4 linked regions of the Saccharomyces cerevisiae S288C genome follow. The protein of the gene in region 3 purifies or fractionates together with the protein of the main gene of each other region. This does not show direct contact. Each region holds a gene or a part of one and is shown on either strand. Other genes may lie near its edges. The genes, in order: MPP10, IMP3, NAN1 and UTP9.

Region 1 (5,970 bases), on a different chromosome or scaffold from region 3:
TTTGATGGCGCACTAGGAGAAAAGCTGATATCAGGGCCGACTGCTGCAAAAAAAATAAAAAATCTCTTAGCCCAGTATGGAGAAGCGTTAGAAACAAAAACAAGCAAACAAGTTATGCAGACTAAGATAGAACATTATATGGAAAGCATATAACTTACTAATTAACATTTTATTACGTATATACATCTACATTTATCCAGGAAAGAACGTCATAAATAATACTAAAATTAGCTATCTTCCAATACCTCTTGTTTCAACGATACTTTAAATGACAGCCAATTACCAACAAAAAATTATTCAGCACATTCTTCTGGTATTTATGAGTGTATATGTTCCGCATCTCGTCATGAATATTTCATGATGCACTTCATTTTCTTTAAGTGGTCCTTTAAGGGGTTAATGACATTACAAGGTCGATATTCCATAAAAAATGCTGGGTGAACAGAGTTATGAAGAAATAATTTTTTACCTAAATACAAACTAAGTCTTCTTCGGCGTGTTCAAAGTTTTATATTTGTGCTATCTGGCCCTGATCTGCTCTTCTTCGTTTTACCGGAAACATCTTTCTTTTCACCCTTTTGATTGATAACAGTAATATTCTTGGCTTTTGACAAAGTGTCAACAACATCATTCCTTTTAGATCTTTTGTTTACATTTGGCAAATTAGCTTTCGATCTTTTTCTTTTCAAAGCCCTGCGCAATCTGTTTTTATCTTCTCTGGTTAATTCTTCCTTAGACATTGCAACACCATTCTTCAAGCGAATTTCTCCGTCCTTTTCTGCTTTACCGACATTGTATATCTCTTGAGGAGCCAAAGAAGAGGCATTCGACATATAGAGAGGTTGAGCATCCTCCATCGATATAGTGGGTGTTTCAACTCTAATTTCCAAAGAAGTACTTGCTGGCTTAGGAACGAAGTGCACTGATGAAAGCACATCCAATTTATATACCAAGTTAGCATAAAGTTCTGATATTTCGGAATGTGCCTTTTGAAGCTCTTCACTTAATGCAGATTCATCTTCAGCGCGTGTGTAGTCATCCTCATATATTTCTGCTAACGACTTCGAGGATTTAACATCACTCAATTCAAATTGAGGCCGTTGAGACTTACGTGTGATGTCTAACAGGGTTCTTCTTTGAAGGTCGTCAAAGTTACTGTCCTGTATCCTTCGTCTAATCATATCTTCTAATGATTCTGTGACCTCACTTGTTATAACAGGAACAGGCTTTGCAGTTCTGTCGAATTCAAGTTCCTCAGTGAGCAATGCATCTTCGGGACGATCCTTTGCCTTTACTTCACCCTTCAAAGACCATTTCTTCTCGGCAACCGCTTCGTTTTCCAATTGTTCTATCTGTTTTCTAATCTCTATTTGTTGCTTTTCGAAACTAGATAAGTTCTTGTCACTGGCTTCTCCCACTCCCTCAGCATTCGGTTCATCTTCCTCATCCGCAAATAAGTCTAATTTCACTTTATCCATGGCAGAATCATGCTCTTCTTCATCCAATTCTTCATCTTCTTTTGGATCTTTTACGTCAGAGTGCTTCTTCACAGGTTCTTTTGTGGGTTTGTCAAAAAAGTCTTCATAATAAATAGCCTCCTCCTCCTCGTCATCTGAAGGCATATCTTGAAAATAATCTATATCTTCATCCTCACTCCCCTCAGAAGCTTCGTTAGAATCTTCTGCAGCTAAAGTATCCCTATTGAACTTTTCGAGATCGAAAAACTTATCATTGATACCATAAGGATCGGGTGAAGAATGCCTTTCATCTTGCCCAGAAGAAATTCTTTTTTCCTCCGCAAATTCTTCTCTAGCTGCCTCTGCACTGGTTTTTTCGTCATCCATACTAGGTTCTTCATCGTTCTCGGAAAGACTATCATTACTCTGCTCCTCAATCTCAGAAACATCAGCAGAGAGCATCTGCTTTTCTTTAAAAACACTTTCTGCCTCCTCTAGTTCACTTTCTTCCCCGGATGATGAGTTCAGGGTGCTACCATCAGAGAGATTGTGAGAAGGCGTGACAACATCTTTGAGTTCTTGAATTCCTTGAATTAGATCACCATCAATACTATCAAGAACTAGTTTGACCTGCCACCAAACTTGATTGGCGTCTAAACCATCAACAGTGATTTCGTCCAGTTCTGCTTTCTTTGTAATACTCCCATTCTTACAGGTATTGATAACTGAATCTATATATGCTTTAACATCTTTAGAAGTGGCGGAGGGGTCCTTCAAAATAATTCTGCCAGCATTAGATTTCAATACTCCAAAGAGTTCTGACATTATACGACTTTCCTTGGGTCTTTCGTGCACACATCATTTATTCATAACAAAACACTGTTTCTTCAAGAGCTCATCGCAAAATTGAAAATTTTCTGCTTCCCTCGCATGCCGGCGGCCAGTACAGAAAAGGCGGTGAATATTTTATGGAAATAATTCTACACGAAAATATGTATATTACGCAATGGTTTTTCATTATCAGAAGTACAGAGCTAATGTAAATGAATTTTAAGTAGAGTAAGTATGCCCCTCGTCGATTATGAAATAATTGCAGCACCAACACCTAATGTGGACAACACGACACTAATACATATGGTTACGTGACAAGCCACTCTCTCCCATGGTTTGATTGTTGTCTTGCACAATCTTAAATAGAACCAACACGGCAAAATTAGGCAAATTGTAAAACACAAACCGGCCCCCAGAAATGCGATAATCTTATCAAATTCAGGGAAATTAATAGCTATCAAAACGAAGACAACATTAATAAAGATCCTATTGAATACTTGAAGGCCTTTCGCAGCTCTTCTTTTTATGGCGCTGGCCGCTTCATCTATGTGTTGCACATTCATCAGAACGTCCAATACAGAAACGATAGGTCTTGCGTTCAATGGGGTCTTTGCGATAGGAATGATAGTCATAAGCGCTGAAATCAGACCATAAACGAATTTTGGATATCCCTCCGTCAGCAAAACGTTCTTAGTAATTTCATCTTTAACAAGATTTCCAAACATCAAAAAGCCAATAACTGCAGTACCTATGTCCGTAACCGATGTTATCTTATAGGTAGTTTTCAAACAGTCTTTAAATTTATCTGGATGCCTCATATCTGTCTTTAAGTTGGGAAAAACCGCATGTCCTCCCCAGCAGGCACTCAATAAACCTATAGATAAACAGAGATGCTTTAGATCTATCGGCCACATGCTCGTTTCCATCGGATTAACTAATGAACCTGGAGAAGACGACTTGTATAGTCCGCAGCAGCAAATGACTAGCACAGTTCCGGTTGTTGAAAGGATTCCCAGAAGCGAGATATTAGATAGAACACTCAATGGTATAAAAACCGGGGGTGTAACGATAAAAAATGAAACTATTTTGAAAAAAGTGGTGGAGTATTGAGGAAATAGAGCATTTAAAGAATCTCCGAAGAGAATCACCAAGGACACCCCACTACCCAGTAGGTCAAGTGTGAAAAGAGCAGAAATTAGTGCGCGCCCTTTTGTACCAAATGCTGCATATCCCAAGTCCGCGTAAGATATCAAAGTTGGATCTGTATCTAGGCACCTAGACAAAAGTTCAGCAGTACAAAATGTCGCTAAGGCGAAGATTGCAAGCATAGTAAGTCCTATAACCCAGCCGGCGTATTTCAAACCAAGAGGTAACGCCAGGAGCCCAATACCAATCAGTACATTGATTGAGTTGAATATGGTCTGTGGAGCGGTCGACTGACCAGCAAGAAGAGTTACTACCTTACCATCTACACCCTCCACTCTCTTCACTACAATTGAATCCATGTCATTATTTGTAAACCTTCTCCCCGCTCCACCACTCATCATTTCTGTTAAGGAGGCAGTAGGGCGTAATATTGACCCAGAATCCCCAATTGTTGAATTTTGGATGGACCCATAATCATCATCGTGAATAGCCATGCTGGCTGTACTAACTCTATCGTTGTTAGCCAAATTAGTAATGCGCGGGCGACCAGCATTATTTAAAGTTACTGATAATCTTCTACCGTCCAAAGCTGGTGCTAAAGTATCCGGATCGTAGGTTTCATCGTTACTCTCTTTGAAAAAGGATCTTTCATTATCCGCATTTAGCTCGATATTACGAAACGAATTGGCTCTCCTCAACGAAGTCGCAAATCGACTTAAAGAATTAACTCCCTTAAATGAGCCCACAGGATGGTCCAATATGGATTGCCTACGTGTCATGAACCCGTCAGACTGAAACTGTGATACAGAATCATCTGGTGAGAATGCGGAACCTCTGTTCAATGGGATTGAGATATAGTGAACCTCAGAGCGCTTACGGCCATTGGGACTCAATGGTTCTTGCTCAGGCATTTGCGTCTCGGAATCAGTTATACAGAATACGTAAGTCTACGTAATGACTCCCCGGTGTTACCTTTTCACTGTAAAATTTTTCTTTAGAACTACACAACACAACAATATTTTATTTATTTATATTCTCGATCTATCGCTATTTTCGCCCCTCGGTAAAAGAGATAAGAAAAAAAAAAACGCGATGAACAATAGCTAAAACAAAACAGATGCCTAACCAAGACGCGTTGTGTATAACAAAATACCAGTTTAGTTGTTGTGGATGCTTATTCTATTTAGGATGGCCAAAGAACCTACAAAAAAATAAAAAAAAAATAATATTATACTCGTTCTCAACAACTCTACTAATTATTAAATAGGATTATATTAGAGTAACTTAATCACGTGTTAAATAATTAATTTACTTTAAAATTTATTTTTTAATATAAAATATTTATTCTTTTTATTTAAAAATAAAAAACACAAAAAAACAATGTTTATGATTTCCGAACCTAAATATACACTTTACGAGAAGAAATGATTTTCCGGTAGTTAACCTTTTTTTATAGATACGTAGATACAGTCACCATTTTTAACATTGCACACAACTGTACGAATGCATAGATAAGGTAAGCCTTCCAGGACTCCGAAGAATTAGTGAATCAATCTCACATACGTTTTTATACAACAAAAAAATGATTAGTCGTAAAATATCTTGCTTACGAAATTCCCTTCTGAGATACTTTGTCGTTCTAACAGTTAGAGAAAAAAGCGTAAAGCGAAGAGAAAAAGAGAAAGAGGTTATAGACTATTATATGTTATATCAGTGTAGATCCAGAGGCATTTGTTAACAAATATAAAGAGAAGTAATCACTCAGAATTTGTTCTTTTGGGGTCTATTATAGTTGTTCATATTCATCAGGGTAGAATATCAAACGTTCCACACCAGCAGCTGTCAAAACAACCATTCTTATAACACCACCGGAAGATCCGTCCCATTTAATGGCTTGCGATAGCGAATGCTTTATGAAATCTACGGTTTCTTCCTTTGACATATTTTCTCTAAAGTTTTTATCACAATACCCATATATGAAAGTAGAGCCAGATCCTGCTATCGCATAAGGCAGCTTATGGACGGAGCCACCCAATGGAATAGTATATACTTCCCCTTTGTTTTTGTCATCATAACCAGCCACAATTATACCAGCAGTAAGGTTATCTTTATTTTCGTAACATAATTCTTTGAACACCGAGGCAGCAGTCTCTGTGGAGGGGGTACCATATTGAGAAGTATATAATTCCAAATGGTACTGAACAATGTCGGCAATCGCCTGCGTGTCTGCTGCAGAACCGGACCTACAACACCAAATTTTGTCATGTACTCTCGTTAATTTATCTGTCACACGGTTAGCTATGTACGCACCAGTGGTGGTACGTGAATCAGCACCTAGTATCACACCATCCTTAAATGTCACGGCCATACTATTTTATTAGGTGATTATAAGATACCTATTAGTTAGTAATAAGGCCAATTGAGACTTTACTTCATTGAACTTTTAGAAACAATAAAGTGGGAGGAAAAATTCTTATATACATACATTGAGGTACCTAAACTGACTTCGCCCTTTTTCAAACGATTGATGTCCACT
Region 2 (7,619 bases), on a different chromosome or scaffold from region 3:
AATCTTAAAGTCATCTTCTTACACTGGATATAATAATATACTAGCAGTATGAATATTAGTCGATAGACGATAGTTGGTTCTATTTCGACGGGTAATATTCTACTAATACCAATGACACTATTAATTTACCTAACAGAAATTCTTCTTCAATTGACCCTAGCGTTTGCCTTATTATCAAGACACTGAAGGTAAAGTTGCCGATAAACTTTTTGGGTTCCACTGTGCACCTATTTCTATGCTTCAATAAGCAGTTCCAGGTAAGGTTTCACCATTTCAACCCAAGTAAATGCTATGTAGTTATAATATTAATTAATGTGTTCTACTGGTTTTTCTGTGCATAAAAAAGACGCTCTGACGCCATTTATCTTGGTGTGTTACCCGTTAGGAAAAGTGGCGTTGCTAAAATTGTTGAAACCCGATCTCATCGCCTGGTAAACAATACAAACAAGGATTTGAACAAGGTTTTATCATTTTCTGATACGTTTTTTGTACTTACAAAATAAAAGATACAAAAATCACTAAGAAAACTAATCTATCAATAAAAATGAGTAGTGAACTCATGTTCAACTATACTTTTAGCTGGCCTGCTGGTCCAAAAGATGTTATTTTAACAGGAACGTTTGATGACTGGAGGGGCACTTTACCCCTCGTGAAGACCGCCAAGGGAAATTTCGAAATTACTATGCCCGTGAAGCTAGCCAACAAGGATGATACGTTTCAGTTTAAGTTTATTGTGGATGGCGTTTGGTGCGTTAGTGATTCGTATAAAAAGGAGCATGTTAGTGAAGGAATCGAAAACAATTTCTTACAAATTACCGATTTAGTTGAAACGCAGGAAGTTGCCGGTGCCAGTAGAATCCCGGAGGCAGGTGGCCTATTATGTGGTAAACCGCCTCGTTCAGCAGGTCCTCCTTCTACAAGTAATAGAAAGAAAAACAAGCGTAACAATAAGAAAAGAAGATCTAAATTGAAGAAAAAGAGTACTAAGAACAACAAGAAGTCAAATGAAAGTTTAGACGATAATGAAGAAGAAGACGGGGTGACTGGAACTACTACTGAAGATGTTACTGGAACCTCTAGGGAAGAAACTCCATTGGCGGAGCCTACTAATGTTTCCAAAGAAGCTCCGGGCAATTTCCATATTCTGCCAATCGATCAAAGTGCAGACACAACTCAATCAAATGGTATAATTGGTGGACCAGGTCCTGTTCTTGTCCCAAACCCTGGTGAAATCAAGGAATTTACCGAAATTAGAGACGTTGATGCTAGGGAATTGAATGAAAGACTTAACAAAAAAGAAGAGGTTCCAGAACCCGTTGCTGGCCCTATTGTTGAATCATCAGTTACGGAAAAGAGTCCTGCTCTTCCACAAGCTGACGACCCGATTGTTGAGACCAAGGAAGTGGCTCATAATGTGCAGGAACTTACTCCTCAAGTGGAAGCGGTTACTCCGTTAATAAATGAGCCCGAACCATTACCAACTCCGGAAGCACAAATATCTATACCTGAGTCATCGAAAGTTGAACCAGTGGAGGGGTCTCTTCAATCTAAGTTGGTGGAGAAACGTGAGTCCACTGAAGGTGTATTAGACGGTTCCAAAAAAGTAGAAAATAAGGCAAAAAAAGATGAAGAGGTCTTTACATTAGACCCCATCGTTAACAAAGCTCCCAAGCTACCCTTGACTGACGAGCAAACAGCTGAAGGTAGAAAATCACCAGCAGTGTCAGAAGAAAAAGAAAAGAAAAAGAAGCAAGAAAAAGGCTCTAAAGAGGTCAAGAGGTCAGAAACCAGTAAAGAAAAAAAGCCTTCTGCCAAAGAGGTTAAGAAACAAACTGTAAAAGCCCCAAAGAAACAGACAGCTTCTCCTTTGTCTTCTTCGACAGAAGAGCCCAAGAAGAAGAAAACTGGTTTCTTCGGCAAATTGAAGAAGCTATTTAAGTGAATTATCTAAGGATTGGTCTCATGTTGCCGAATCATAGAAATATAAGAAAAAAATTAAAAAAAAAAAGAAAGAAAGTATAATACTAATATTGGCAATAATGCTAACACATTACTAATAATAGCAATAATATTAATAATAATAATAATAATAATAAATTATAATAATAGCAGTAATAAAAATATCAAATAATAATAATAGTAATAGTAGTAGTAGTAGTAGCAGTTGTAGTAATGATAATAATAATATAATAATAATATAATAATAGTATAATAATAGTATAAGTAGTTGTAGGTAAAAATCTTTGATTTATCTTATCTGGTTGCAATGCTTCTCCCCTCTGATGCCTAATATGTCTATCTTTATCCTATACCAATTGGCAGGGGAGCAATCATAATTTACATTAATATCGTCCACCATACCCTGAAATTCCAAAAGAGTTCGAGAAATTGGAAGGTACAGCATTTCATTTACTCACTTATTTGATCTTTTCTTTTGTTTTCTGGTAAACATCTTTGTTTTAAATGGGCTCTCTACAACAAAACATGAAAAGTACTCAAGAAAAAAAATCTTTATTAGCGTTGGAATCAAAAAATATATAGCATTAGCAGAACGTTAAAGAGGATATTTGGTTTCTAGTCTAAATGGTGTTCCCTTTTCGAAACTGTATAAAATGAAAGGTAAGGTTCGAACTTCTGTGGCCTTACTTATTGCGTTCATATTCCGTGAAACTAGTATATATTAAAGGTTGCAAGCCAAGAGTTTCATTGAACACCAAAATGTTTACCAAGCAAGAACACGTCACCGCATTAATAACCAATATAAATTTCATTTAAGTTATTTTCATAGGATATTTACAAGGTATTCCCTATAAAGTATAAGAAAAGATACATGTCATAAAAAAAATTACGAAAATGAGTACGAAAATAACTGAAATCCTGAAGTTATTTGATTTTCTTGTCCTTTAGCTTTATTGTTTCATCGTTAACGTATATTCCTTTGCCTTTATACGGCTCTGGTGGATGGAATTTTCTCAATTTGGCAGCAAAAAGAAGGACCTGCTGCTTATTGCACCCTTCAATAATCAGAGACGTGGGAGCAGGTGTTTTGACAACAATACCTTCAGGAACGTCCAATCCTTGTTTGATAGATGCACCCACCTTAACGTTGACAAATTTACCATCATTTTCTAATTGAGCTCTATAACCTGTCCCTACAAATCTAAGGACAGCAAGATGCCCCTCAGTAACACCTATAATGTGATTATTTATAAGTGATCTTACTGTACCCCACATCGAACGTTGATGTTTATCTTCTGAATTCTGAACTGTAACATTTATTTTACCGTGCTTTTCATCCTTGTCCAAGTGCAAAAAATCAGGGACCTCCACGGACAATTCACCCTTGGGTCCCTTTACTGTGATATTCTGTGATATATTCATTGAAGTTCTACCTTTTCTGATAATCCTGGGCATGGATAATGCATTTATGGAAACCTGAACTTCAGGAGATATATAAAGTGGTAAAGACCCCACTTGAGAGCGCAGAAAAAGTGTTTGCGACAATAACCTCCTCTGAATAAATGACATAGGTTGGCCTCAATTCCTATAGTAAGATTTGCGATAGCTTTATTGCGTGATCTTCCCTTACTTACTAGTATTTGATATTCTTCCTCTATAACCGTAGCGTCTCCTCGCTATTTCCGCTCGCCTTTCATTACCCTCTACTTCCAGTGAAAAAAATTTCACTGATATAAGCTCATCGCAACAAAAATTCAATGGGATAAGTAATATAGAACGTTCTAAATAGATAAACCACCAGGCATAATCACAACCAATAATGGTTAGAAAACTAAAGCATCATGAGCAAAAGTTATTGAAAAAAGTAGACTTCCTTGAATGGAAGCAGGACCAAGGCCACCGGGACACTCAGGTCATGAGAACATATCATATTCAGAATCGTGAAGATTATCATAAATACAATAGGATATGCGGTGATATTCGTCGTCTTGCCAATAAATTATCATTATTACCTCCCACTGATCCATTTCGTCGCAAACATGAGCAATTATTACTGGACAAGCTATACGCTATGGGTGTCCTGACAACTAAATCAAAGATTTCTGATCTGGAAAATAAAGTTACTGTTAGTGCCATCTGTAGGAGGCGATTACCTGTAATAATGCATAGATTAAAAATGGCGGAAACTATACAAGATGCAGTCAAGTTCATTGAACAAGGGCATGTTCGCGTGGGTCCAAATTTGATCAACGATCCAGCCTACCTCGTAACGAGAAATATGGAGGACTACGTTACTTGGGTGGACAACTCTAAGATCAAGAAAACCTTGTTGAGATACAGAAACCAAATCGACGATTTTGATTTTTCATAAATTGACTACAAACTTACGTTTTCTGTATCAATACTCGATTTATCATCTTCCTACATTGTGAAATTATTACGAATAGGCAACGAGGCAGCAAATACAAATGATGTGAGGCGCCTGAGCTTTCTTAAAAGCTGGAAGCATGAAAAATTGTTATATACACAAAGGAACTTCTTCGTCGTATGCAAAAATAAGAAAAACCGCAAAACAATTTCTCATCGGCGTCATTTGTTAAATATGCCTTAAAACTTAAAAATACACTTCGAAAAAATCCTATTTAACATAAATTAATTTGTATAAATACGCAATTTGTAAAATTTCTCCAATAAAACATCAATTTATATATCCGATAATTGTCCGTTCATTATCTACACTTCAGTTGACGGTATAATTATGTGAAGAGCCTAATTGTTTTCTTAAATCGTCCTGTGAACCACTATGTGGCAAAATTCCACCAACACTTGGTGGCTGTACAACATCTGTCTCTTCTAATATCCCACTAACACGAGAATTATACAGTTGCTGCTGCTGCTGTTGCAGATAGATATTATTTTGTGTGGTCAGACTGTTATTTCTTGAATTGGTTGCGCTTACACTTCTGAAAGAACCTGCTGGCTTATAAGATGGTTTTGCCGTCAAATCCGAAGGATTGGTCATTACCACACTTTGTCTAAGTTGATAAGGTGAAGGAACCGCCCCATTTTCGTTAAACTTCATATATTGGCCTTGCTGCTGTGGAGCATAATAGGCATCGTTTGTCGGTGAATAAAACATTTCCGGATGATCGACCGGATTTAACGCAGTTCCGTTTAGTCTGGCAGTCTGTAATTGAAGAAGTTGTTGCTTGTTTGGTCTTTTAAAAGAGGTCAATGAATGCGAGGAAGCTGATTGAGCTAAATATGCGGGAGTTGGTAATTCTCCAATAGTTTCCAGGGTCTGAGGATGATTATGTTGCTGTTGTTGAGGAGTTGGTACACCGTACCATTGTGGATTTTGCACGAATTGCGCAGTATACCCCTGTTGCTGAGGATTTCCGCTATATCCATTGCCAGGATACTGTGTGTGGCCATTATATACTGGTGATTGTTCCTGTTGTTGATATTGATCCTGATAATTCAACGGCTGAATTGCTTCGGAATAAATTGAGGAAGCAATTCTATTGGAAGGCGCTGCTTCCGTATCGTTCACGGTGAGTGTATCCTGCACTGGATATTGTTTCTGGCTTTGGGCCATTTCTGGACCATATTCTGCCAAGTTAGTATTGTTTAGAGGAAGTGCTTCTTTCACCAGGTGTTTTGCTTCCGGTACCTCATTATTGTCGATATTGTCGTTATTATTAATTTTGATAGAAGGCAGTGGATTCTGGACTATATTATCCACTCTATTCTCCTCCTGCGATATATCATTTGCATTATCTGCTTTATCCTCTTCCTTTTTCATTGTTTTAGCTCTATCCAAATAAACTTGATAAATACTTTTCATTCTCTTAATATCTTCTTCTTCATTAGGGGATAAGAGTGATACATAGTAATCATCATCTTGACTTTTACTGCTACTACGATCATTCATATGTTCAGCTTCTCTGATATCTTGAAGTTCATAATTATCATCATCCTTACCAAAACGCAGATTCCTTTCATGTGTCTTTTCTGAACTATTATCAAGTTCGAATTCGAACGCGTCATTGCTTGCAGACTCATTTGACTCATTCAAAACCTCAGCCTCTTCACTAACTGAGGACGAATCATTGTCTTCATTAGGAAATGTAAACTGCTTGTTGGCACCTTCTGTGGCAGAACCACGGGAAAGCTGGTTATTATGGATTGGGCTACCGTGAGATCGAAAGCTTTCACTCTCTTGAAATCTTGAAGACGCTCTTATTGGTGTACAATTCGAAAAGTTATCAGGATGCAAGGACGTTTGACTGGCATTTCTAGACTCGGCCGCAACTTTATAGCCACCTAGTCCATCTTCTTGTACTCTCATGGCAAAATCTCTCAAACTGTTAGAGTCGTTCGATTCCTGTGGAAGCTGAAACGGGTCTACGTACCATGACCGACCAATTGCAGGTGGGGTAGCGCTTCTCACATTATATTTACTACTATGCATGCTACCAACAAAGGGATCTGAAGGCGGCTGTTGCAAGGTCTTTTCCATGAAGTCTTGCTGCGAGTCGCTAGAGTACAAATGATTTATTCCAGGTGAATAATCCTTCATTGTCGGTAAAAATTCAGAATCTCCTTCGAAATCTGGATCATTATCTTCCTCAGCTTCCTTTTTGCTTCTCCTATACACAATGCAAAGTATCACAGCCAGAACAATGATAATGACACCTACTGGTACCGCAACAGCCACACCAACAGTTACACTGGTGCTGTGACTCGAATCTGTGGGTAATTGACATTGCTGTTTAGAGCCTGTACATTCAGCAGATTTGCTATTTTTCGTGCTGGATGCTGAGGAAGAAGATGAATCGCTATCGTCTCTTCTAGTGAGCCTTGCATAAGCATAAGACGCATCAGAAACACTTACCGTTGAAGTCACAGATATTAAACTTTCATGCATATGGGTGTGGTACATCGCGAACTATATCTTTGTTAGAACTATGTGACGCTATATGAGTTCAACGAAAAACTATGAAAGGTAATGAAAGAATGAAAAGAAGAACCAGTGAAAAATTCGATATGGATAAAGACAAGGCCTGCTCCCCACAAAAGCTTCACCATGAGTTTGTTATTGATTATTAAAAGTTCTTATTGAGATAAAAAGAGAAAAAATACGGAAGAAACCTTGTCTTTTCGATGAACTTTCCTATTTGGGTGAGCAGTTTTCCTCTTCGAGCTGCAAAAAAGTTTATCGCTTCGCGAAAAAAAAAAAAAAAAAAATTTAAAGAATTTCAAAACGTGTCAGGGCTACTAAATAATTGAACGAGGTCTATGAAATAAAATGGGCTGAGAAAATTTCAAGAAAAAGGAAATAAGTAAGGGCTATTTAGGGTTAGTGGAATGGCTTTTATTATTTCCGCCGCGATGAACTTCCCTTTTATTGTGACATGATAGACATAAATATGACGAATGCCTACGAATTGGAGTCATCAGTAGATAGAACCATAATGAATAAGATAAAAACGCAGGTATTTAGGGTGACAAAGAGATAATATATCTTCAGCAAATGAGTGAGACCAGCTCAAGTCGCAGGAGCGCGAGTAAAGACGCTGTCAAATCTTACTTCGCAGGCAAATACAATAAAGTGTTGGATTCTATACTGGAGGCAGAAGCAGCAATATCAAAATCGC
Region 3 (9,628 bases):
GAATGATTTGCGAGCATAAATAAGATGAAGGAGCTTCTTCCAGGAAAATGGCATCGAATAATGCTGATAATACTCCGGTTTCATAGAATTTTTGCAATAACAGATTTTCGTAATCCGACTCATTGGATAATATCAAAATTTCCCAGATTTCTAAAACCAACTGAAATGAATCTTCCCTTAACTTTAAAAGATATTTAGACATTTGTTTAAAAATATCTTGAAATGTGTTGTTAGAGAAAAAATCCACAGGATTCAGAATCAGAGCATAACTTTTGATAATTTCAAGTAAAGTTGGGAGAATCTCTGTGTGTGTCTCAATACCATACTTTAGAAATGGCACCAATTCAACGAACTTATCGTCAAACTCTTGATCGTGGGATGAAAAATTTTGAAGAAGCATGCCCCATAGTTCATACCCGTCTTCGCTTAACAACTGATATTGCATAGAAGAGGGATCACAGGCTAATGCAACCACAGGTATGGCGATATCCCACGTTAAATGTGACTGTGATCCCAAAGATGATACCAAATTTCTCAATAACCTTAACAATGCGTTTGCCAAAATAGCCTCACTAGCATTATTTGTTGCTATTTCCCAAAGGTTTGGTATGATTTGCAAAATTTCGACTAATAGATCCCTGCTAATTAAAGGTTTTGTTTGAATTATGATATCGCTCAAGGTGTTTAAAACATATAGCCTTGTCTCGGTTAACGACACAGATGGTAAAATTTTCCTCAACAATAAATGAACATTTTCAGTTAAAAATGGCTGAAAAGTATCCTTGTTGAAGTTCCAGTCATCAACCATGGTTCTGACAGTCTGGACTGTGGTTAACAAAACAACTTTGTCGTCTTCATCTGTCAGGAAGTTTGTAAATAACTTGTAACATAAACTTTTAGATTCTTCCGAACACTTCACAGTAGACCATTCGTTTATAATTAAAGCAACTCTTCTTCTGATAATCCTTAATTCGTCGCCTGATATGTTTGTATTTGTAGCTTCTGGTAAAAAAACCTGAATTAGTAACCTGTCAAAATCTACCATTTCACTAACAGCGGATGCACTTAATTGGAAACTTGCATAAATTGCGTCTTTCCTTAAAAAATCGTCTAATGAGTTTGATAGCTTTGAAGCATCATTTTCAATTTTCTTTAACAGGTAGGGAACCAACAGCTCAGAGAAAGTATTCATTAAGTCTTGAAAAACGTTCTCTGCACATGGTCTGATTTGATATTCGTAACTCGTGGCCATTTGTTCGTTTATCCATTCTTCTGGATCCATAAACCAATTTTCTAATTCAGTTGGTCTTAACCTCAAGTACCATTCCATTAAAGTGTCAACCAACCTTGTTATCAAATTCTCATTCAGAAATTCTGTGTTGATTTTGTTGATAGAAGCATCTATGGTTAGTTTATCACTTCTTGCTTTTAACGTAATTGCCCCCTTTTTGTGAATGAAATTAATGACCCTTTTCAAAATTAAAAGCCCTCTAATAGCAGTCTGTTCCCAAAAGTCCCCCGTGACATCAGAATTCTCTCTATATACTTTAGGGGCCTTATCGAAAATTAGCCTAGTATAAGTGATTAGAATTTGCGTAGAGCATGGCAGTAATATGAAATTAGCCGGAGAGCCAGTGACTAAATTGAAATATAACTTTCCTAGGCATTTGATAAACTTTTCGTAAATATCAAACTTTTTGAAGTTTTCATGGTTTGAAATTAACATCTCAAAGTGTGAAACGGATAGTTTAATAAAATCGCAAACAGACTGATCGGTTTGAGGGCGGTCGTATCCTTCACAAATTATCCTTCTGAGCACTTTCAAAGCTAGGTAAGAAACTTGTAAACTGGAAAGATCCTCGTAGTTGAGATTGGAGGATGTCGTCCATTCTTCAAATGATTGTAAATAAATCCTGACAATTAGTGGTAATATCAAAGGAACTTTACTTTGCATAGCGGGTCGGCACCTTCCTATTCTCGCAGTACCTAATACTTTAACGATTTGATTTATATGCATCAATATATTGTAAATCTTAACTGAATCTTTTCTGATGATCTCATCGTTCAATAGGTTTTCTAGATCCTCAAATAAGGTTGGCCACTCTACGGGAAAATCTAGCCTTGCAATCCTTGCGGAAGCTTGGGCATTCTGAATACAAAGTTGATTATTCTGTTCATCGATCATTTCAAAAAGACGACCTCTTATCGAGGCTTTTTCATCTTTAGGTATAGCGTTAATTCTAGTGGATCTCCAGTATTTATCCACGCCGTTCTTAAATTGAATTACCGCCAACCATCTAATTTGTAAAGAATTAGATAAATTAAGGTAGATTGACTGTAATAAGTAATGAAATCCCGCTTGAGTCTCCCATTGTCTTAGTTGTTGTTCGGCTAATTTTTGAACATCTGACCTAATATGTTGTGGGTTACTTGCTTGTTCAAGTACTTGAACCAAGTTTAACTCGTTAAGAGACGAGGCCATTTTTGTTTAACGCCTTTTAAAATTTGATTCGGTTGACAGTTGAGGCAAGCTAAAAAGTTAATAGTTTATGGTGCCTCCTTTTTCTTAAACACAACACCTACCAAGAAGTTTGACAAATATTAAGCTACCCAATTGTTTGAAACTTCAATCTTCTTACATGGAAATGTACGCTATAGAAGTGTAATTCAAAAAAAAAGAGGCGGCTTATTTGGAGAGATTATTTTATTCATCTTGACTGAGGATGCTCATCAAACAAAAATCGTATGAAGAGATTTTTTGTATATTATGATAGTTCTATTAACATTAATGATTGTGAAGCTTTTTACGAAGTGTCTGTTCCTATTAACCAATGCATTCTCTTCCCTTCCCTTGTAACTAAGTTATACAGATATTTTTGCTTTCGGTTTGCTTTATAAACATATATATATATATATATATATATATACCTTTATATCTATTTTGGATATCCAATGGAAGAACCCTAAAGCTATGTTAATACTTTCATCACACGATCAAAAAATGTATCCATTTGCACGTTTTGAATGTTGTCAAACATGCTCGTAAAACTATTCATATTGACTAGCTTATCTTTCTTTTCGCCATTTATAAATTCCAAAGCGATATCTTCTTCATCTTCGTCGTTATCATTGGTATTTTTATCTCTAGTGTCACTTTTTTTGCCCCTAGACGACAGTTTATGCAATTGTTCTGCAAAAATATCGCTATTGGATGCCGAAGTTGTGATGGTGTTACTTACCAGGCCATCCAATATTCCTTCGTTATTAACTTCATCAGATAGTTGAGTATTCACAGTGGTTCCGACAACACCTAGTGTTGATTCTATGTCCAAAAATATGAAATCAGTATCATAATTCCAACCAATCCAAGATATGTATTCATGATGCGTAAAATTACCCAATTTTGTAGATAAGTCAGAATCGAATATAATAATACGGGATTTGTAATTGATAGTTGGTACGCCATCGAGATCAGTTAGTTGTTGATTTATAACCAGGGCAATGTTGCCTGTCCTTTCGTCACAAGTAATAAGCCTATCCATGTGACCATTTTTATACACTCCGTTAACAAACGGATATAAGTCAAAACTATTTATGACTTGACCCCGCAATAAGTTGATGGCGTTTAATGTAGTCCTGGTGGCCACTATTAAATTTGTGTCATTAATCAACTTGACGGTTTGGATTTCAGAGTCTAACGTGAACTCACTGACCGTCTTTGTATTTTCCAATGATTCAAACTTTTTAAAAGTGTCGAAATCTAAAATTTGCAACTTGTCATCGAAACCATGGAATATTAGAGACCCGTCTTGAGACCAAGCTAAAGAAACGGAGTTACTGAAATGATTAAAGTTTGGTAAAGAAATTTTTTTCAAGCACCAGTTGCTCTCATGAGAGTCGAAGGACCAAAATTTCAGTCCACCGTTGTTGTCAGCCGTTAAACAGCCTTGACTATTATTAACTGATCTTGGTGAAGGCAATATCTTGGTAATTGGGACACTTATCCCGTGTGGATTTATTACTTTCGTTTTCAAATTCCAATTTGTCTCATTATCGTTTTTGGTCCAAAATTTCAAGATATGAGTTAAGTCCTTGGAAGATAAGAGGTCATTTGGCGGATACTCAATTTCGTATGTAATCATCCATTGCCCATCTTTGGTGAACTTCAAATCAGTTATTATTGGGTCTTGTAAATTCAGTTCAAATCTAACTTTACCCATAGAATTGTTGACACCTGATGTTAAATACTGATAGTTAACTTGCTCATTTTTATAGAAGTCAAAAATTTGAACAGCAGAAATGTGTGGGAAATACAAGTTCTTGTTAATAGGGTTTATTTCTACATTAGTGGTGAAATCTTGTCTTCTCGATTTAATTAGTTTTCTAGATTGTTTCTTCTTAGAGTGATTGAGAGAGGTAATTGAGTTGGAGTTCTTGGTATTCATGGCCGAGATTGGTTGCTGAATGTGTTTTATGGTGCTATTGAACACCGGTAATGGCCCGTTAATCGACAATTTGGAGGTCAAATCAGAAGCATTCAAAAGTAAAAATTGGTAGTCAGAATTTGAATTGTTTTCAGTCATTTGTAGGATTAAAGAGTAGTAGTTCCCTTGAGGTCCCAATACCTGACAGTCGATTATAATACCGTTCAAACGAGGCAGGAATTGTTGAGAGTTTGTTTCCAATTGCCATAAACTCATAACTTTTTCCCAACCACCAGATAGCAAATAGGATCCATCGTGAGAGAATGAGAGTGACAGCACAGAGTCTATATGCCATTTGAGCAGTCTTATTTGTAGATCGGCCAGGCTTACGATACTTATAACTCCGGAGGCAAATCCAACAGCCAGTTGTTGACCCATATTGTCTATGGCCATGCTAGAAACGTACCTTGTGTTATAGGATAGGGATTGAGTCTGTGAAGAAAGGATGGAACCGAGGGGAAAGCTTAAATTTACAGAATCATCAAAAAGCGAAACAACTGAGATGGATTTGTGTTCGTGATCTTTTGTTGAGACGTCTTTGCACATATGCGCTAGCAGTTTACCATTGGAAGAAATATTTGACAAGATAACGTTGTGCCATTCTGCCTGATGAGCCACTTCAAATTGCTTTTTAGCATCGTCAAAGGTTAATGCATATAACCTGTACGATTGCAAAGAGTTATGTGCCTTTTGACTAGGGTCCTTGAACGTTGTCAAAATTCTATAGTTGCCCTCGCTATGGAAAACATTTGCAAGCTTTTCATCTGCCAAAGAGATTTTGAAATGCTTAGGGGACTCGACCAGCTTCCCCTTATAATTTAAAACAATTACATGACCATTATTGGTGAATACGGTAATCAGATGAGCGTCTTCTTGTTGCGGAACGGTTATATCACCCAGCAGAATCTTTACAATCGATTCATTATTCTCTTCTTCTTGCAGAAATATTCCGGATAACAAGGAGTTATTTGCAAACTTTAGAGTCTTAACACATTGTCTAGTTTCCACAGAATACACCTTGATCTGATTGTTAAAGGGTATAATATAGTTTCGTTGGTCTTGTGATAGGCGGGCGATATTCTTATTGCCGGTTACTGAACTGAGATTATTCAAAGCGGGTTTCCCACCAGATACGACTGACAGTTTATACTGTTCGATACCTAGGGATTGCGTCATTCTGGTGATCAGCTAAAATGGTTCTGGTTTGTACTTGTAGTTCCTGTGACGACAGCCAATATAACTGATATGTAAACTGTGCCAAAAATCATTTGTTCGAAAAATTTCATCTCATCTCATCGCTAGGAAAAAGAAAGGAAAATTTTTTTCTAGTTTCTCCTTCTCACATTTTACATCACTTACCACGTACCCTAAGCAGTAGGCCGCCTTAACCCTGACGTGCTATTTTGTTACCCTACTGATGTGACCGCTAGATTTTGACATGCCAAGCAATACAAATCTCCAAGAAGTTGCTGTTTGCTTTGATGAAATGCTATTCTGTGTCAAAAATGCCCCCTCCTAGGGACTTGCGTCTAGGTAAAAGCTATTCTGCACAATAACAGGTTTGATGGATGATTTTTGTTTGTTCTCTTTGGCTTTTCATTTTCGCGTCGCGTTTTCTGCTGTTGTTTGTTTTTTGTGTGGAAAAGCGGGCGGTCAAAGTTTTTTGTTTATCTGCCTTTATTTAAAGAGGAGGAGCAACTATAGATTTGGGGAGTTGTTATTTATGGGCACCTGATAATGCTTGGCAGCGAGGGAAGCAATTATAATACAACTAAAGCAACATGGCACCCAAGAAATCCACTACCAAGACCACAAGTAAGGGCAAGAAGCCTGCAACCAGCAAAGGCAAGGAGAAATCAACTTCCAAGGCCGCTATCAAGAAAACCACGGCAAAAAAGGAGGAAGCTTCCTCCAAGAGTTACAGGGAGTTGATCATTGAAGGGCTCACGGCTTTGAAGGAACGTAAGGGATCCAGTCGTCCGGCACTCAAGAAGTTTATCAAGGAAAACTACCCGATCGTCGGATCCGCAAGCAACTTTGATTTGTACTTCAACAATGCCATAAAGAAGGGTGTGGAGGCCGGCGATTTTGAACAGCCAAAGGGACCCGCTGGTGCTGTGAAACTGGCCAAGAAGAAATCTCCAGAAGTAAAGAAAGAAAAAGAGGTCAGTCCAAAACCCAAGCAAGCCGCCACTTCTGTGAGTGCAACCGCATCAAAAGCGAAAGCCGCATCCACGAAGCTAGCGCCAAAGAAAGTAGTGAAAAAAAAATCGCCTACTGTTACCGCCAAGAAGGCCTCTTCGCCTTCTTCATTGACCTACAAGGAAATGATCCTTAAAAGCATGCCTCAACTTAATGACGGTAAGGGCTCCAGCCGTATCGTTTTAAAGAAGTATGTCAAGGACACTTTCTCCTCCAAGTTGAAAACAAGCTCAAATTTTGACTATCTGTTCAATAGCGCTATCAAGAAATGTGTTGAAAACGGCGAGTTAGTGCAACCAAAGGGCCCCTCCGGCATTATTAAACTAAACAAGAAGAAGGTCAAACTCTCCACGTAAAAAGTGAATATCCAAACGAGAATGTCAATGGTGATAGCAATACTATCAAACCTATTTTCTTTCTTCATTTTTGTGTCCCATCACTATTAGTATTTTGTATTATTTCTAAATTTTTTTCTCTCTAATTTTCAATCTTATTCAAGTGTTTGTTGGCGGTACTGTAAATTTTCATTTTTTAATCTCTCCCTTCTCTATTTGTTACTTATTCGGTAAATATCTCCTTTATGATTTTATTCAAATTCCATTCTTAACTAACTAACTATACTGTTTATAAATTTCTCTTCTCTTATATATGCAAGGTACAGTGTGTAAAATTAATTATTGTATTTGAAGAAAAGGCTTTAAAATCTGAACATTTGAAGCCCTAATATTCTGCACCGTGCCCTATTAATTTTCGCCCCTTTCCGTAGAAGCCCGGCGAGACCTCATTCCGACTAATTTTCCTCAATGCTTTGCCCTTCCTTGTAAACATTATAATAAACAATCATCTCAATATTGGCGTTTTGCTCCTATATCCTTGCCAACATTTAAGATTGTGGCTGTCCCATCTGCGACAGAAATCATTTTACATTAGTTTTTCTTTACTCACTTCTTTCCCCATTTGTCATGGATTCGCAAGTGCCCAATAATAACGAAAGCTTAAACCGCTTCAATGACATCATCCAAAGCCTGCCTGCAAGAACTAGGTTGACCATATGCTCATTATGTCTGCTGGACAATATCTCCACTCAACTACTGAGGTTTCTTATCCTTAATGCCAACTCTCCCAATATTATAGCGGTTTTGACGGACCAGACGGCTTTCCTAAGCTCAGGCGAAACAGAAATTTTTCAAACGTTAGTCAAGCTCTTTAAGCAGATCAGAATGATTTACCACACCAGATCTCCGTTACTGTCTGTTCACGACGTGGCGCCTGGTTTATGGTTTCCCAACTCCCCTCCCCCCCTTATATTGAGAGGCCACGAAGCGTTTATTATTACTGCCATAAGAAAGGCGAATCTGCTAACATTTCTATTGACGTCGCTGAACTGCCTTAATTACGGGTTTGAGCTGCTACAGTCGATATTTCTCGATATTTTCTGTCCAAATACAAACACTGTCGGTAACAACTCCCTGGAACAAAGCGGAAAGTTTTTGAAATCGCAGGCTATCCTATATCTTGATCTGAAAACACAGGCTTACATTGCCGGCTTGAAAGAGTTTCAGGACGAGACGAACGAAATTTCTTTAGAAAAGAAACAAGAGCTACTAGACTTAATCTTCCCATCCAATCTGGCTGATATTCTCGTGCAGAGAAGAACCGGCGATTCTGGAGACATTACACTTTTGACTCCATCGGAGAAGGACTTCGTCGAAAGGTGCGATCGTCGGAGAGAAAATTTAAAGATCGTCCAAGATTTTAACTCTCTGACCCAGAGCTACGAATGGGCTCAATTTATCAGAGAGTTGCTGGATTATTGTAATAAAAATATGGGTCTCATCATATGGGGCAGAAAGGGTCGCGGAAAATCACCATTATATGACTTTGATGTCAACGAGTTTGATCCTCAAGTACTCTTTTCTACAGGGACCAGGACCGTAGAATTCATGGACGACCAAAATCAGCCAAGCAGTGCGTCTGCTTTTTTGTCAACTGCTCGTCCGAATCATTACAGCACACATACACCTACCACAGATGTGTCTTCCAAAAACCCCGCTATCACACAATCCATTGTGGATGCCGCTGTTGCGGCCTCGATGAGCAACAGCAGCTCTGGTCCTCATTCCTCTCATAACAACAGCAGTAACAGCAACAATAATGGTAGTATCGGATTAAGAAAACCAAAGGCGAAAAGAACTTGGTCCAAAGAGGAAGAAGAAGCATTAGTGGAAGGCCTGAAAGAGGTTGGCCCATCGTGGTCTAAGATTCTAGATTTATATGGTCCCGGTGGTAAAATCACGGAAAATTTGAAGAACAGGACGCAGGTACAACTGAAAGATAAAGCCCGTAATTGGAAATTACAATACTTGAAGAGTGGCAAACCATTGCCTGACTATTTGATAAAAGTGACCGGTAACTTGGAGAAAATCTACAAGGCAAAGAAAAAATTCTCTCAATCTCCAAATTCGTCAACTATTATGGAACAAAATTTATCTCAGCATCCTTCATCAGCTGCATCTGCTACTGAAGACACTCAAACTCATCAAGAGGATTCACATGGGCAAAATAGTGATAATATGCCATCTAACGGACTTTTTGGCAATAGTACATCGGACAATACAGGTTTTGATCCTCATTTAGAAGATGGGATGTAGCGCGCTTAAATGAACAGACTTCTAATTTTCTATTGAACCACTCACTATTAAAAATACTTTGATGGGTTGTTAACTTCGCATTGTTTGGTTCCCTAGGTATATTCTTTTGACGTGGTCACCCTATCTTCTAGCAACCTGGTCCCCTCGTGTTTTTCTTTTTATTCTTTTTTCTTTTCCATTTTCTATTACATTGGAATGTATATATTTGATGTTCTCATTTTCTAAAATGAAAACTGTTGTATAATTACTTAAAATCCAAGATAAAAATGTGTTGTAATAATATGTGTTTGG
Region 4 (3,953 bases), on a different chromosome or scaffold from region 3:
TGACCTCCATGAGTCGATAAGACCAGTGGATTATAGGCGCAAGTCACAACAGAGGTGTGACATCCTTTCCAAAGATCAAAGTCATTGCCTGATCTGATAAGTTTTAGGATTTTTGTAACAAGGAAGCTCAATTCGGATTTTAGCAGCTGTTCATTGATATAAACTGGTGATCTTAAAGTCGCCAAAATGGTATGAAACTCATTACCCTTGGCAATTTCCAGGTTTCTAGCCAAAGTAGAAACTGCGATAAATTCCTCTGACATGCTCAAATTTTGTCTATACTTAGTTTGATAACTGGAAAACCACAAAAATTGAATAGTAGTATTGCATCTATTTTTTACTACATTTTATTATAGTTTAATATTGAAAAATTTTCTTGCGATGACCCGTCTCAAATGATGAAGACAACGTAATCTTTTGAAAATTAATAGCTGCATCAATCAGTGCTTCTCATGTGAAACTTTTCTTTGTATATACTTAAATATATTTAAAATGCTTGATCAATCTTTGTATTCCGATGCGTCGACAAATTCGTCACTTTCTCCATTTGCATAAACAATTGAATCTGGTTCAAGCTTTTCAACAGGCGATGCTTGATCCTGCAAAGGATTACTAATTACATTTGAATGCTCTATAACTTCTATTTCATCATCTTCACCCTCTTGCATAGATAGTTGTGCAAGATCCTCTCTCAATTTTGCTTGCCTCCTCAACATTTCTAATCTACCTTGTATACCGAGTAGAACAGGCAAGATCTCCTCTGAAGATCTTAATGCAGATTTTAAATGCTTGCAATTTTTCTTTGTATGTTTATCCTTTATAGAATTTAACTCCCCACTTTTCAAAGTCAGCAACCACTTAAGCCACAACGGAAGTAAATTTTCTTCATTCCATGGATTTTGTGTTATTGACTTTGATATAGTCAAAAATATCTTACTTAGATGATCTACTGTATTGATCTTGGTTAAGATGAATTTTTTAATCTCTGGTTCTGTCCAACTTCCAGACATCAGATCATCCAATATTTCTGTTGAATTAGCTTCTAAATGCGATGAGAGAATATTAGCAATTTCAACTTGATCTGATTTACTAACTTTCTTGTTTATCTTAGTTTCAGTCTCCTTCTTCTCATGTTGAACTTCAGGCTGAGCTTCTTCTTCTTTCTCTTCTAATTTCTTTTGGTCCGCTTCATCAGCATTATTTTTTTCATTTTTGTTTATTGTAATATACCCCTGAGTTTCAATTTCTTTTAAAGAAATAGATTCAAAGTTGGGTTCATTGACATTTAGCCATGAAATTAGAACCTGTTGCTTGCTGTTTATTGGCGTGAAATCTATAATTTCCAAATCTTCATTTACAACTATAGAACAAACTTTGTCGGCTTCGCCAATCTTATAATTATTAATTTTACCATCAGTAGTCAAAGCCATTATCAAATCATCTAAAGTTTTCAATGTCTTCACTTGGACAGGCCATGATTGGATCAGCTTTGAATCTTCCTTCAAGTCGTAAGCTATTAATTCTTCGTTGTTGGCAATTAACAGATACTTACCGTCTGAAGAAAATTCACATGCTACAGCGTCTGATATTTCAAAACTATACTTAGTAGAGGGTCTTCTCTTTGATGGATCAACAATATAAACCATCTGTTTAGTAATAATGCATACCAATAAAGTGCCATTTTGGTGCAAAATTTGGAAATGAACTATTTCGTCATCTTTACCATCAACTAGCGTAAAAGTCTTTAGAGGTTTCGAATTGTTATACTGTAATTTCTTAACGACTTTATCACTATCCAAAATCCATATATCAGACTCGTCTGTGTCTGCTCCCAAAATCTCTTTTTTATTCTTGATGATATTAACTATATCCTTACCATTAGAAGAGTAAACAACAATTCTTCCGTCAGGAAATCCGTTAACGAAAAAGTTTTCACATCTTTGCTCACTTGATTCACCAGTTCCTTCATCTTCATCTAATTTTCTTTTGATATTGGATGACTGCGTATCTATCAAATCACTACACCACCCAAAGAAGATTACATCTGAAACCTTCATATCGTTTGTCTCATAGTCAATATGACTCACTAATGAACTATTGACCACATAATCCTTAGTTTCATTTAATGGATAAATATCCACATTGTTCTTTTGTGCGACGCTTGCTTGGAATGCAAAACGAGTGGAATCATGCGAGAAGCTCGCCACCAAATCCAAAGAGGAGCCCATTGTGCACTACGGTATGTATATACGTGGAGAATGCCCGGCGTTATATATTGCAACGGAGTACTAATATGTATTTCAACTACATAAAGTTACTTGAAAACTCCATCTCATCGTTAAATTTTTCAAAATTTTTCATGTTTTCTTCTCACCTTTAGAAGAAAAAAATTTTCGCACCTCGTTGTAAGTGACGATGATAACCGAGATGACGGAAATATAGTACATTAGTATCTAAATGGTTGAGAGTATGCTTGTTCAGTGTTCACTTGTGCATCTAGATTACTAGATTTTGTGGGAGATACTTGTATATGCAACAATGATGAAGGCTGGTTTAACGACTTAAGGTCTATCGAGCCCTTGAATGATATGGGGAATGATGTACTTGATTTAAGGGAAGAGGTTGTTCTGGTATCCCGTGAGAGAGAGTCAGGCTCTGCAGTACTTTCCTTTCGGCATTTACTCTGCGACTCAACTTCTGAACTGGAGCTGCAATCCTTTTCCCGGTTATTATCATCCTCACCGTCTGCTTCTCCATTCGGTTCATTTTTGTCTTCTTCCAATTGCTTTTCCAGGTGACAACCTAACAAATCTTCACTCCCTACTTGGTTTAGTGCATTTTCGCTCTTGCTTGTCAAATGGCTGTTACTGTGTTCCTCTTTGGAGGTAAACTCATGTTCCCCTTCCAAAACGTTCATGTCCTTATAGCTTAATATAATAGGTTCGGATCTATTTTTACCAAATTGCAATACTGCTCTTTCACCATCGTTGTAATGCTTCAGCCTCCTTTCGTTTTCAATAAGATCTACATTACAATCGTTATCCTTATCTTCTAGCGTGGTCTCGCGATCACCGTCCAGTACAGTCCACGCGATAGGTAGTAGAAAGGATAGGAGTAGTATAAGAACGTATATTCGTGTGTCCAATTCGCTGGATTGTCTGGAAATGAAATTAAATACTTTACGCCAGCTCAGTTCACCAGCGTCGGGTTGTTCCGCAGTTAAAGCCTCACGCTTATTATCTACCAAGTTTTTCAACCTATCTATAGTGAAAATTAACTCATAGTCCACTTTCTGGGGCTCTATCCATCCCTGTCTTTCCAAATGCTTACGAACTGTTTTTTCAACACCTTTCAAAACGGCTACAGAAAGACCTAACGAAAAGATTCCACGAACCAATGGGGGACGAGTCATGCTTATTATATTTTACAATTATATTTGTAGCTTTTTTGATATTATGCACACACGCAAACGCAACAGTTGTTGGTTCCAATTTTTGTTTGGTTTAATTCCTTCTCTTCCCACACACTCTCTCACTCACAAAAATCTGGACAGAAGAAGCCTCACCTTTTTGTTTTGCAGCTCCTCTTCCCCTTCTCTCCTTCATAAGGGGGTGGGTCCTGATATTTTTCGTCTATTTTTTTTCAAATAGGATTTTCCGCAGTGTAGAAAGAAGAAAGATGCGTCACAAATTAGATAAACTGATAGAAAGAACGATGCTATGTAAATGCATATGTACAGAAAGTGACAGGAGTAGGTATTCCTCACGCGATAGCACCGAGACTCATCAAAATCACCTGGAGTATAAGTTGCAGTGACCAAAAGCCCACCCTTCTCAAGCGTAATGTCCTCTTTTCATCGTCAGCGACGTAGTCGGCGAAGGCATCGTACGCTTCCGCACTTAGATCCCGCATAAGGTATGAATCATATATGGTCCAGGAGCCCTCAAAATCAG

What was found.
Region 1: the proteins of NAN1 (region 3) and MPP10 purify together in Saccharomyces cerevisiae (affinity purification with mass spectrometry, with the first as the bait; 2 studies listed by BioGRID). This does not show direct contact.
Region 2: the proteins of NAN1 (region 3) and IMP3 purify together in Saccharomyces cerevisiae (affinity purification with mass spectrometry, with the first as the bait; 3 studies listed by BioGRID). This does not show direct contact.
Region 4: the proteins of NAN1 (region 3) and UTP9 purify together in Saccharomyces cerevisiae (affinity purification with mass spectrometry; 8 studies listed by BioGRID, with this or other methods). This does not show direct contact.

Annotation. Positions count from the first base shown.
Region 1 is NC_001142.9:435,177-441,146, reverse strand, and holds MPP10 (rRNA-processing protein MPP10), read right to left. Parts: upstream 2,283-5,970; coding exon 501-2,282; downstream 1-500. Other genes in the region: MRX12 (Mrx12p), read left to right, coding at 1-153; AVT1 (Avt1p), read right to left, coding at 2,537-4,345; PRE3 (proteasome core particle subunit beta 1), read right to left, coding at 5,221-5,803, 5,920-5,970. UniProt on the Saccharomyces cerevisiae protein: Involved in nucleolar processing of pre-18S ribosomal RNA. Required for the early cleavages at sites A0, A1 and A2 during 18S ribosomal pre-RNA processing.
Region 2 is NC_001140.6:389,756-397,374, forward strand, and holds IMP3 (snoRNA-binding rRNA-processing protein IMP3), read left to right. Parts: upstream 1-3,778; coding exon 3,779-4,330; downstream 4,331-7,619. Other genes in the region: CRP1 (Crp1p), read left to right, coding at 545-1,942; mitochondrial 54S ribosomal protein uL6m MRPL6, read right to left, coding at 2,884-3,528; SKG6 (Skg6p), read right to left, coding at 4,700-6,904; PEX28 (Pex28p), read left to right, coding at 7,496-7,619. UniProt on the Saccharomyces cerevisiae protein: Required for the early cleavages at sites A0, A1 and A2 during 18S ribosomal pre-RNA processing.
Region 3 is NC_001148.4:306,242-315,869, reverse strand, and holds NAN1 (Nan1p), read right to left. Parts: upstream 5,661-9,628; coding exon 2,970-5,660; downstream 1-2,969. Other genes in the region: karyopherin KAP120, read right to left, coding at 1-2,482; HHO1 (histone H1), read left to right, coding at 6,266-7,042; TBF1 (Tbf1p), read left to right, coding at 7,649-9,337. UniProt on the Saccharomyces cerevisiae protein: Involved in nucleolar processing of pre-18S ribosomal RNA. Required for optimal pre-ribosomal RNA transcription by RNA polymerase I together with a subset of U3 proteins required for transcription (t-UTPs).
Region 4 is NC_001140.6:490,206-494,158, reverse strand, and holds UTP9 (Utp9p), read right to left. Parts: upstream 2,229-3,953; coding exon 501-2,228; downstream 1-500. Other genes in the region: RIX1 (Rix1p), read right to left, coding at 1-263; NVJ1 (Nvj1p), read right to left, coding at 2,447-3,412; MDM31 (Mdm31p), read right to left, coding at 3,763-3,953. UniProt on the Saccharomyces cerevisiae protein: Involved in nucleolar processing of pre-18S ribosomal RNA. Required for optimal pre-ribosomal RNA transcription by RNA polymerase I together with a subset of U3 proteins required for transcription (t-UTPs).